2 linked regions of the Caenorhabditis elegans genome follow. The protein of the gene in region 1 interacts with the protein of each later gene in a pairwise test. Each region holds a gene or a part of one and is shown on either strand. Other genes may lie near its edges.

Region 1 (5,258 bases):
CAAATTTTAAGTCAACTTTCGGCGGGAAATTCAAATTTTAGATCAATTTTCGGCGGGAAATTCAAATTTTCAGTTAATTTTTAGCGGGAAATTTAAATTTTCTGTTAAATTTTAGCGGGAAATTCAAATTTCCAGTCATTTTTCCACCAAAAAATCAGTTTTTCTGTTTTTTTCCACTCAACCTTCACTTTTTCAGGCCGGCCAACAACAGGTCATCCGCACTGTCATCCGATCACAGTGACGTCATCATAATTGATTGTTTTTCTGTATTTTCGAACCCTCCTCCAATTTATTGATTTTTTCTTTTGGTTTTTTTTTTTCAAAATTTTTGAGTAAAAAATCAGTATTTGTGTAAAAGTATTTTTTTTTCGAAAAATTTCAATTTCCATAATTTTTTTTTGATTTTTTGATTTATGCGTATGTGTCCTTAACATAAATGAAGGTCTTCATGCAAATATGAATTAGCTACTAATTGAGCATTTTTCTGATTTTGTGCCAAAAAGCTGAGAAAAAAAGAGTTTCCGCCAAGTTAGGCGGCGGAGCAGCGGATATTCGATCATACGGCGGGCTCTTTTTTGCTCATTTTTCACTTTTTGTGGAAAAATACGGAGAGGTGAGTTTTCGGGCTTCTAATTGAAAAAATTGAAAAAAAAACATTTTTGAAAATAAAAAAAAATTTCGAAAATTTTTTTTTTCCATTTTTTTTCCAAATTTTTTTTTCAAAACCTTATCCAAATAATATTTACATCATTTTCAGCTAATCCTCTCGCACTTTTCACTTCAAAAAAAATGCTCATTGAGCCCTGCAAAATGTTGTTTTTCTCCCCCCCCCCCCCCCCCCACTTTCCTCTCAATTTTCTCGTTATTTTTCAGTTTTTCATTGTTTTTTTGCTCCGTTGAGCACACTTTTTTCTTTTTCTTTTTTTTATCTCTGAGTGTCTATTTATGGCACATTTTTCATTTTGAGAAAAAAAACGAAAAAAAAACTTTCGAAGCTCACACTCTCTCGGCATTTATTGCCTCTTTTTTAGGGGCTTCCGGTGAGTTTTTTTTGAGAAGAAGCTTTCAATTCAAATTTATTGATTTGAATGTGCTCATTGTGCATAGAAATCAAATTTTTTTGTTAGTTAGTTTAAATAAGAAAAAACTTTTTTTTGAATTTTTAAAAAATCGAGAAAATTTTTTTTTTCAAATTTTTTTGTGAAATGTTAAAATTATTTTTTCAAAACGTTTACTCAATTTTTAATAATTTTTTCGCTCTAAAAAATATGTGCTTTTTCAAAAAAATTGCATTATTCTTTTGCGGGAAATTTGAATTTTCAATTAATTTTTGGCTGTAAATTCACAATTTTTTTTTTACAAAATTTCTGTCAATTTTTGGAAAGAAAATCCAAATTTTCAGTCAATTTTTGGCGGGAAATTTAAATTTTCTGCCAATTTTTAACAGAAAATTGAAATTTTCAGTTACTTTCCTTTGTCAATGTTATGCCCTTTTTGTCATTTATGAAGCCATAATTTACGAAAAAAATTAAAAAATTTTTTTGTTGTAAAAATGCCCATATTTAACCCCCTGTTAACCCTCTACATTTTTCCCATCAAATTTCCCTTCAAATTGATCTTTTCCCCGTTCAGATGACGTCATCAACCTTTAAAGATTCTCTCATTTCTCTGCCCAACTCTCTCATTTTCTAATACTATTTCTTAAAAATCTTATCAAATTTTGGATGTCTTTTCTTATCAGAAAAAGAAAACTTTTGAAAGTTGAAAATAAATTAATGATTGATAACTGGAATTGGTGTTCTTTGGTGATTCGGGCTTTGGAACTTTTTGGAATTTTTTTTTGAAAATTTCAGAGAAAAAATTTAAAAAAAAAAAAGCTATATCCTTTTTTTGAAAAAATGTTAACGAAAAAAAAAAATGAAAATTTTTTTCGTGAATTTTAAACTTAAAAGTTGTACTATTTTTTCAATATAAATTATGTAATTTTCAAATTTTTGCCAATAAGTGGGCGGAGCCTCAGTGACGTCACACCTCACTTATCTAGAACTAGTTGCTGGAAAAGCAGCTGAAATCCTTCTGATTCGATTTGTATGTGCAAAAAAATAATCCCCCGACTTTATACATTTTCTCAAGTATTTTCGCGTTTAATTTATAGCTGTTAAGCCCCCTGACTGACTCCGCCCACTTTTTGGATTTATTCGAAATTAAAAAAAAATATTTCTGAAAATTTTCCAACTGAAAATGCGACCTTCCAGAAGCCATCACTTCCAATTTTTACTGAAATCAGAGACTTTTAGCCGGAAAGTGAGTTTATTTTCTGAAAATTTTGAAAAAACATTCATAAACTTCAAAATGACGTCACTCTACCGATTTTTTATATTTTTCAAAATTAAAAAACAATTTTCGAGCAGAAAATTTCAACCAACATTTGCTATAAATTTCATAAAATATATCTCTAAAAACTACAAAACTACGAGTGTTTTCGTAGCGGAACCCAAATCTTCCAAATTTTTTTAAAATTTTTTTCGAAAAATTCCTAAATTCAAAATGACGTGACTCCGCCCATTTTTGAGATTTTTCAAATTTTTTAAATTTCAATATGAGCTTGAAATTTCAGCCAACAAATGCTATGAATTTCATAAAAACAACCTCCAAAAACTACAGTACCATGGGCGTTTTCGTGGTGGGACCCAAAATTTCCAAAAAAAAATTTTTTTCTGGAAAATGTTATCAAACTTCCAGAGCACGTCGCTCCGCCTATTTTTGAGATTTTTTGAAATTGTGTGATTTTTATGAGCAGAAAAAAAAACAAATTTCATAACAACGCTCCAAAAACTACAATACGACGAACGTTTTCGTGGCGGGACCCAAAATTTCGAAAAAAAAAGTTTTTATGGAAAACAATCTCAAATTTTAAAATGACGTCACTTTACCAATATTTGAGTTTTTTTTTGAATTTTTCAATTCAATATGAGCTTAAAATTTTACAAAAGTATCCCAAAAAATTTCACGAGTGTATCTTCAATTTCTACAGTACCCCAGAACTTTTCGCGGCGGGACCCAAAAATTAAATTTTTTTTGAAAAAAATTTGAAATTCTTCAGTTTTAAAATGACGTCACTCTACCGATACTTGAGTTTTTTTTTTCGAAATTTTTCCACGCGTTTTTATAAACGTCTTTATTATCTACAGTATCCCAGAACTTTTCGCGGCGGGACCCAAAACTAAATTTTTTCGAAGAAATATTCTCAAATGTTGAAAATGACGTCACTTTACCAATTTTTGAAATTTTTTGATTTTTTTTGATTCAATATGAGCTTGAAATTTCACACAACCCCAAAGTTAAAAAAAAAATTTTTTTGCAGATGCCAAATTGCTCCTGTACAATCCGTTGCGAGTGTCGGATCACCAATTTGACCGGCGAAACTCTTGAGGCGGCTCCGGAGTATTTGAAAAAAAAGTGAGAAGAAGCCGGCTATGCAAAATTCAATCTTTTTCAAAAATTTTCAGCGCAATCCGATGGAGCTCCGCGGCTCAGATATACGAGGAGCTCAAAAATCCCGGCCATTTTCAGCTTTGTCACGTCGAAAAACGATACAAGAAAAATAAATCCAAAAGTCGTGAGTTTATCAAGAAAAACAGAAAATTCAAATTTTTCAGTCGGACTGCAATTTTTGACGCTAAACTCAATTTTGTGTTTTTTAGCCCAAATTTTTTTTGCAAAAACATGAGATTTTTGGGTAGTTTTCTTGGAAAAATGATGATAAATTTTCAGAATACCACTCCCCGGAGCGATCCCCTGCGGGGACACCTCACCATCACCGCCGCCTATCACATAATCACTTGGCGTACGGTGGAAGTATGTCGGAATTGAATTGTACACAGAGGTTTGTGAAGAGGAATTTTTTTTTTTTTGGAATTAGAAAATTGCTAAGTTTAAAATTTGTGAGTTTTTCAAAAAATAAAAAATTTTTGGACTAAATTTTTGGACTAAATTTTTTTTGATTTTTTTCAAAATTTTCCCCAAAAACTCGCAATTTGCCTTAAAATTTTTGAGTACTAAAGTACGCGTTTATTTAATTGCTCTTTTTTGCAAACTGCAGAGTACCGTTCCCCTTAAAGTAAATATTGAAAAAAAGAGTTAGGTTCATTTTTTTTGCCCCCAAAAATCACATGATTTACACAGTGAAACGTGAGATTTCCGTCATTTTTTCTTTCTGCTGTTCAAGTAATTAGAGATTAGTTTCGTTAAGTTCACCGAGCATTTTGACTCATTGGCTCAATTTTTCCAGCTGGCTTCACCTATTTTTGGGGATTAGGAATCTGATTGAAAATTATTATTGTGCGAAAATTGCCAACAAATTGCCAGAAAGTCGTCAAAAAATTGCCAAAATGTTGTTGATAGATTCCAAAAAAAAAACCACAAAGTTGACAAAAGTTGCCAAAAAGTTGTCAAGAAGTTGTCAAAATTCGCGAGAAAGTCACCAAAAAATTTACAAAAACTGACGAAATGTTGGCAAAGAATTGTCAAAAAGATGGCAGAAAGTCGCCAAAAATTGGCAAGAATTGTCGAAAAACTGCCGGAAAGCTTTGAAGTTTGTCAGGAAGCTACCGAAACTTTTGGCGACTTTCGCCAGACATTTGCCAGTTTTTGCCGGTTTTTTCCAGCTTTTTGTCAATTTTCGTTCAACTTTCCCCTATCCTTTGCAAACTAAATTTTAATTTTTTTTTTGACTTTTGTTTGGCTTTGCTAATTTAATTTTTTTTTTGACTTTTGTTTGGCTTTGCTAATTTTGTGCCTATTTTTTTGCCAACTTTCTTCTAACTTACCCAAATTAGCTCCAAACACCTGATAACTGTGTCTTATAGGTGTTTGCCAACTTTTTCATTTTATTTGTACCCCTATGCGTCACAAAAACACATCTGTCGTACTTTTCTGATTCCAAAAATAGCAAATTTTCAGTCAAAAGTCCTACAAAATAAAGGAATGACGTGTGATAATTGTTTTCCATGCCATTTCCATCAGTGTCTAATAGGAAAAAGAATACAAAATGAGCAGAGCCCCCTGAAATAATTGAGTTCCAGCTTTTTGGGAATGTGCTCCACAAAAAGTTTTTGTGCTCATTGTGCTCATTTTGTGTCAGTGCACACGAAAAAGTCTGTGATTTATAGGAATTTTCTGAGCATTTTTCGAGTTTTGGAGAGTGTTCAACAAGTTTTGCCAAATTTTTGGCAATTTTTTGCTAACTTGCTTTAAGT
Region 2 (5,013 bases), on another chromosome or scaffold:
CTTCTTTCTAGCTGATTGCAAGAAAGTAAATCGAGATTTTGACTATGAATTGAGCAAGAGAACTCTGGAATTCGCAGCGGCTGCGTATTCCATCGATCCGGAACCTTGCATCTCGAAAAACAATGCGACTTTATTGTTTTTCAAAAAGGTGGAGTGCGATTATATGCGTGACGAGGTAAAAGATCATGAGATCTTTAAATATTCAAAAATCATCTGATTTAATTTTTTCCAGTGCTGGAGTGTGATTGCTGCCGACAACGACACAATATTCGTCAGTTTCAGTGGAACAAAATCGAAAGAGCAGCTGGTAACTGAACTTATCGAAAGCATTGGTCGGCCAAAGCACAAAGTAGGCTCATGTTTCAAGTGTTTGTCTGAGTACTCACAGAGCAAAGAAAACTTATTTTACAGTTGCACAATGCTGGATCAGTTCATTATTACTTCTACTCTGCTCTAAAAACAATGTGGTCACCAATGGAAAAACTACTGCGAGGACTGAAAGACTCACTTCCAGATCATAAAATTGTGTTCACAGGACACTCATTGGGCGGAGCTATTGCAAGTATTGCATCGACTGTTTTCGTTAGAAACTTTCCCGAAACGTCGAGTCGAACCTTTTCAATCACATTCGGACAGCCTAGAGTTGGAAATCTCGAATATGCCATGACACATGACAAATTAGTTGCTGGAGGAAGCTGGAGACTGATTCATGGAAGAGATATTGTGAGGGAGACTAATATTTAAGATTTTTTTAATGCTTTATTAGGCTCAAAATGCACCCAAATGAGCGAATTTCGTAATGAAACTTCTCAAACAAGTTCGAAATTTTTTTCTGGCGGTTCAAAATATCCTCTTTCAAAAGACTATTAAAAGTTTTTTTTCTAGGTTGCACATATTCCGTTCTGCGTGGAAAGCTATGCCAGATGGTGTATACCATTCTACAATCATGGATCCTATCACCATGGAGTCGAAGTCTGGTTTCCTGGAAACATGACAAGTCAAGATACGTTCAAAGTTTGCACCGGGACTCCATTGAACGAGGACAATTTGTGCAGGCAAGTGACAGTGATCGAAATCACGTGATAAGAAAATCTTCTCTTACAGCAACACTCATCGCTACTTTGACATCAACGATCACCTGTTCTACTTTGGACACCACGTCTCAGATTACGGTGTTAATGGATGTGTAGACCCACCGGATGATGAACCATTAATAAATAATGAAAATGTTTAAATAAATTTAAAAATGTTGATTGAATTGCGATTCTTTTTCTCGTCGTTTCAACTGTTGAAAAGTCGGTTTGAGAGAATATTCTCGCTTCCGTGTGTCACGTATATTTTCTCAGGACTTTCTTTTTATTGGAGAGAGAGAGGAGGCGCCAAAGAAGATAAGACACCCGCGAACTCGAGTGTAAGAAGAAACAAGGGAGGAGAAGAGAGAAAGAAAGGGATGGTTGAACACAGAAAATGAATTGTTGGTTATTTTTCTTTTCGTTTTCGGTTTCCTACTTTATTGTTATGGAAGATTGTGTCTACTTTCTTCCCATTCATAACACGAACCTTCTTTCTTTCTTTCTCTCTATCATTGCCTGTTTTTCTTTCTCTCCGGCGCAATAATATTATTATTGATTTCTTAATATTTGATTAAAATGATAAGCCTTTGTCTTCGGAATCATTTTGATAAGAGACGATATCATTTCGGCTAGAAATGTTGCAGGAGAACGAGATGCCTGGGCCAGCCGGCGTACCGCAGCGCAAAATGACGTATTTCGTGCCGAAGAGTGGTCAGTTTACTTTAAAAGAGGACTTACCATTTTTTTTTGCTCTTTTAGACTCGAAATGTGCCCAAATGAGCGAAATTTAAAAAGATAGTTTATTTCACATAATTTCAATTAAAATTGATTTCCGTCCGTTTCGACATGGAAAATTTGGCAAAATTGAAGATTTTAGCTAAAATCAAATAGCCCATTTTTTTTCGAAATTTTGAGCCGTTTTGGACGCATTTTGAGTTGAAAAAGTGCATAAAATTGATCGATTAGCCCTATTTTATTTTCATTCCACATTGTCTTCTCAAAAATCTCAATTTTCAGACAACTCAAACGAGCAGGTTCGAGTTCCAAACGTCATCGCACTTGTCGGACTGCCGGCACGTGGCAAAACATACATCTCACACAAACTGTGTCGTTACCTCAACTGGATTGGAATTAAGACCAAAGGTTGGTCCTGATTCGATTATATGTACGACATGAAACAAAAAATCAAAATTACAGCATTCAATGTCGGCGAGTACAGAAGAAGAGCGTGTAATTTGGAAGAAGAAGGCGAAAATGAGTTCTTCTCGCCAAACAACGCCAGAGGTCAAAAGATCCGAGAGTGAGATTTTACGAAACTATGAAGAAAAAAAATTAAAAAAATTCCTGAATTTTCAGTGAGTGCGCGAAATTAGCCATTGAAGATATGGGAAGGTACTTGGATAACAAGGAAGGAGAAGTGGCGGTGAGTTACAAAGGAAAAAATTTCAAAAAAATATATAGACATAAACTTTTTATTCAGATTCTCGACGCGACAAATACTACAAGAGACCGACGAAAGCTTCTGATGGAGTTTTGCAGAAATATGATGCACGAGCCACCATTCCGTGTCTTCTTTGTGGAATCTGTTTGTGATGATCCTGATATTATCAACTCGAATATCACGGTAACCTTTAGATCTTCAAAATAATCACCTTAACCCGCATATTTTCAGGAAGTGAAAATCAATTCGCCAGATTATAAAGGAATAATGTCTCAAGAGGAAGCAAAAGAAGACTTTTTGAAGCGTATCGAGAACTATCGAATGCAATATGAGCCACTTGATGAGGATCATGATGAAGAGCTGAGCTATATCAAAGTTATCAATGCCGGAAAATCCTTCTATGTTCACAATGTTAATGGTCATGTGCAGAGTCGTGTTGTGTATTTCCTGATGAATATTCATCTTCTTCCAAGAAGTATTTATTTGTCAAGAGTAAGTTTAACAAAAAAACCGAAAAAATTTTGCGCTAAAAATAGGTAACAGGTCTCGACGCGAAAATTTTTATTAAATGCCAAAAAGTGTGCGTCTTTACAAACTACTGTAGTTTCATTTTTTTTGCTGCCGAGTTTTCATTGAGTTTCAGTTTTCTCACGATTTGCTGTAAAAACGTTTTTATTTTTTATTTCACTTTTTGATAAATTAATATTTTTTTACCAAACAAGCTAAGAGAGCCCGTAAAAAAACTTGAATTTTAACAAATCGTGAAAAAAAAAGAAAATCAATGAAAATTCCGCAGCAACGAGAGTTTGAAATTACAGTATTCTTTAAAGGTGATGCCTTTTTTCATTTAACAAAAATGTCGTGTCAAGACCGGACACCGGTTTTTTTGGCACAAAATTCCGTTTCTGGGATATAATTCATTCAATTAACAGCACTGAGAATTATCAAGTATTTTTAAACTTTTATAGTTTAAAAATCCCTTTAAAAAATTTATTACAGCATGGAGAAAGTGAGTACAACAGAATTGGTCGTCTTGGTGGTGATTCCCCACTCAGTGAAAATGGTTTAAATTACGCTGGAAAACTTCGCGAATACTTCGAAAAAGAAGATTTGGACGATTTCCGTGTTTGGTCATCTCAAAAGATTCGTGCCGCCCAGACAGCTTCTCATCTGAAAGATCTCGCTGGTCATACAGAGTTCTGGAAATGTCTTGATGAAATCGATGCCGGAATATGTGAAGGATTAACTTATGAAGATTTCGAGGCTCGTTATCCGAAACAATTCGCTGAAAGAGATAAGGATAAATATCACTACCGTTATCCAAGTGGGGAATCATATGAAGATCTGGTTGCTCGTCTGGAGCCAGTTATCATGGAGCTTGAGAGACAATCCAATGTCCTTGTCATTTCTCATCAAGCAGTTCTCCGTTGCATTCTTGCCTATTTTACTAACAAAAATCGAGATGATCTTCCATATCTGAAGGTTCCATTGCATACAGTCATCAAGCTCACACCAAAAGCCTATTCCTGTGAGATTGAACTTTTCAAATTCGACATCGAAGCAGTCAATACTTACAGAGAGAAGCCACAATAGGAAGTATTTATTCTTTATCTAGCCAATTATCTATGCCAAATGTACATTTATTTTTTCATACAAGTTCCCATTTTTATGTCGGGCGTTTTTTTTGAGATTGCATTTTCCCTGTTTTTGAACAATTGCCTTTGAATTTAAATACGTTGTCGTTTATGTGAGAGTTATAAAGATTACATCGATTTCAATTTTATGGACTGATTGCAATATTTCTCGCTGTGTCATTTTCTACAATAATCTATTTTTAATGTATTAAACGGTCAGGAGCCACATTAAAAATTTAAAAGAAAACCAAACAAGAACGCGTAACTGAGTTGTTGTTATTTTAAAAGAAAAATCAATTCATATAAAAATTAATCCTTAAAGGCGCAGAGATTTATTCAGATGGGTCCCGACGCGCAAAAAAGTTTATGGTAATTGTGTTTGAATTTTTGCGGCTGCTTCCTCGTTTATTTTTCTTGCATTTTTCAATTTATTAAGGGAATTTTGTCGTTGTTTAAAACCATTGTATGAAAAAAACACAGGAAATCCCACATTTTTAATGGAAGTAGTTTATTTGTACTTTGAAAACTGATTTTAAACATATTCTGACAGAAAAGTGAAAAGAAAACGACATCTGAATAAATCCATGCGGTTTTAAAAAGGATTGCCAAAATATTGTGAAGTTACGATAAAAACAAAGCTGAAGCAAGTTGTATTTATTTTCTGCACATACCTGCGTCTCTTAGTGGCCTTCTTCTCTCTCTCTCTCTCTCTTTCCCAATAATCGTTCCACTATTCGGCTTTCAAACATTCTCATACACTTTCAAAAATCAATTTACAGGAAAATTGATCGAAATGTCAATATCAATGGATGACAGAGGGAACAATAGTGGAGAAGTTGGAGAATGTGAGTCATCACGAACTATT

The links.
Region 2: the proteins of Y43F8B.2 (region 1) and pfkb-1.1 interact in a two-hybrid assay, tested with the Caenorhabditis elegans proteins (one large-scale study listed by BioGRID).

The regions. Positions count from the first base shown.
Region 1 is NC_003283.11:19,530,094-19,535,351, reverse strand, and holds the start of Y43F8B.2 (GSKIP domain-containing protein), read left to right. Parts: upstream 1-2,241; coding exon 2,242-2,304; intron 2,305-3,364; coding exon 3,365-3,459; intron 3,460-3,509; coding exon 3,510-3,619; intron 3,620-3,774; coding exon 3,775-3,886; intron 3,887-5,258. Other genes in the region: Y43F8B.1 (Prion-like-(Q/N-rich)-domain-bearing protein), read left to right, coding at 197-241.
Region 2 is NC_003279.8:5,129,814-5,134,826, forward strand, and holds pfkb-1.1 (6-phosphofructo-2-kinase domain-containing protein), read left to right. Parts: upstream 1-1,706; 5' UTR 1,707-1,708; coding exon of another isoform or gene 1,709-1,726; coding exon 1,727-1,784; intron 1,785-2,090; coding exon 2,091-2,216; intron 2,217-2,270; coding exon 2,271-2,373; intron 2,374-2,429; coding exon 2,430-2,496; intron 2,497-2,553; coding exon 2,554-2,697; intron 2,698-2,745; coding exon 2,746-3,006; intron 3,007-3,513; coding exon 3,514-4,107; 3' UTR 4,108-4,292; downstream 4,293-5,013. Other genes in the region: Y110A7A.7 (Fungal lipase-type domain-containing protein), read left to right, coding at 1-175, 233-349, 412-723, 886-1,055, 1,105-1,234; Phosphatidylinositol-3,5-bisphosphate 3-phosphatase mtm-1, read left to right, coding at 4,954-4,993.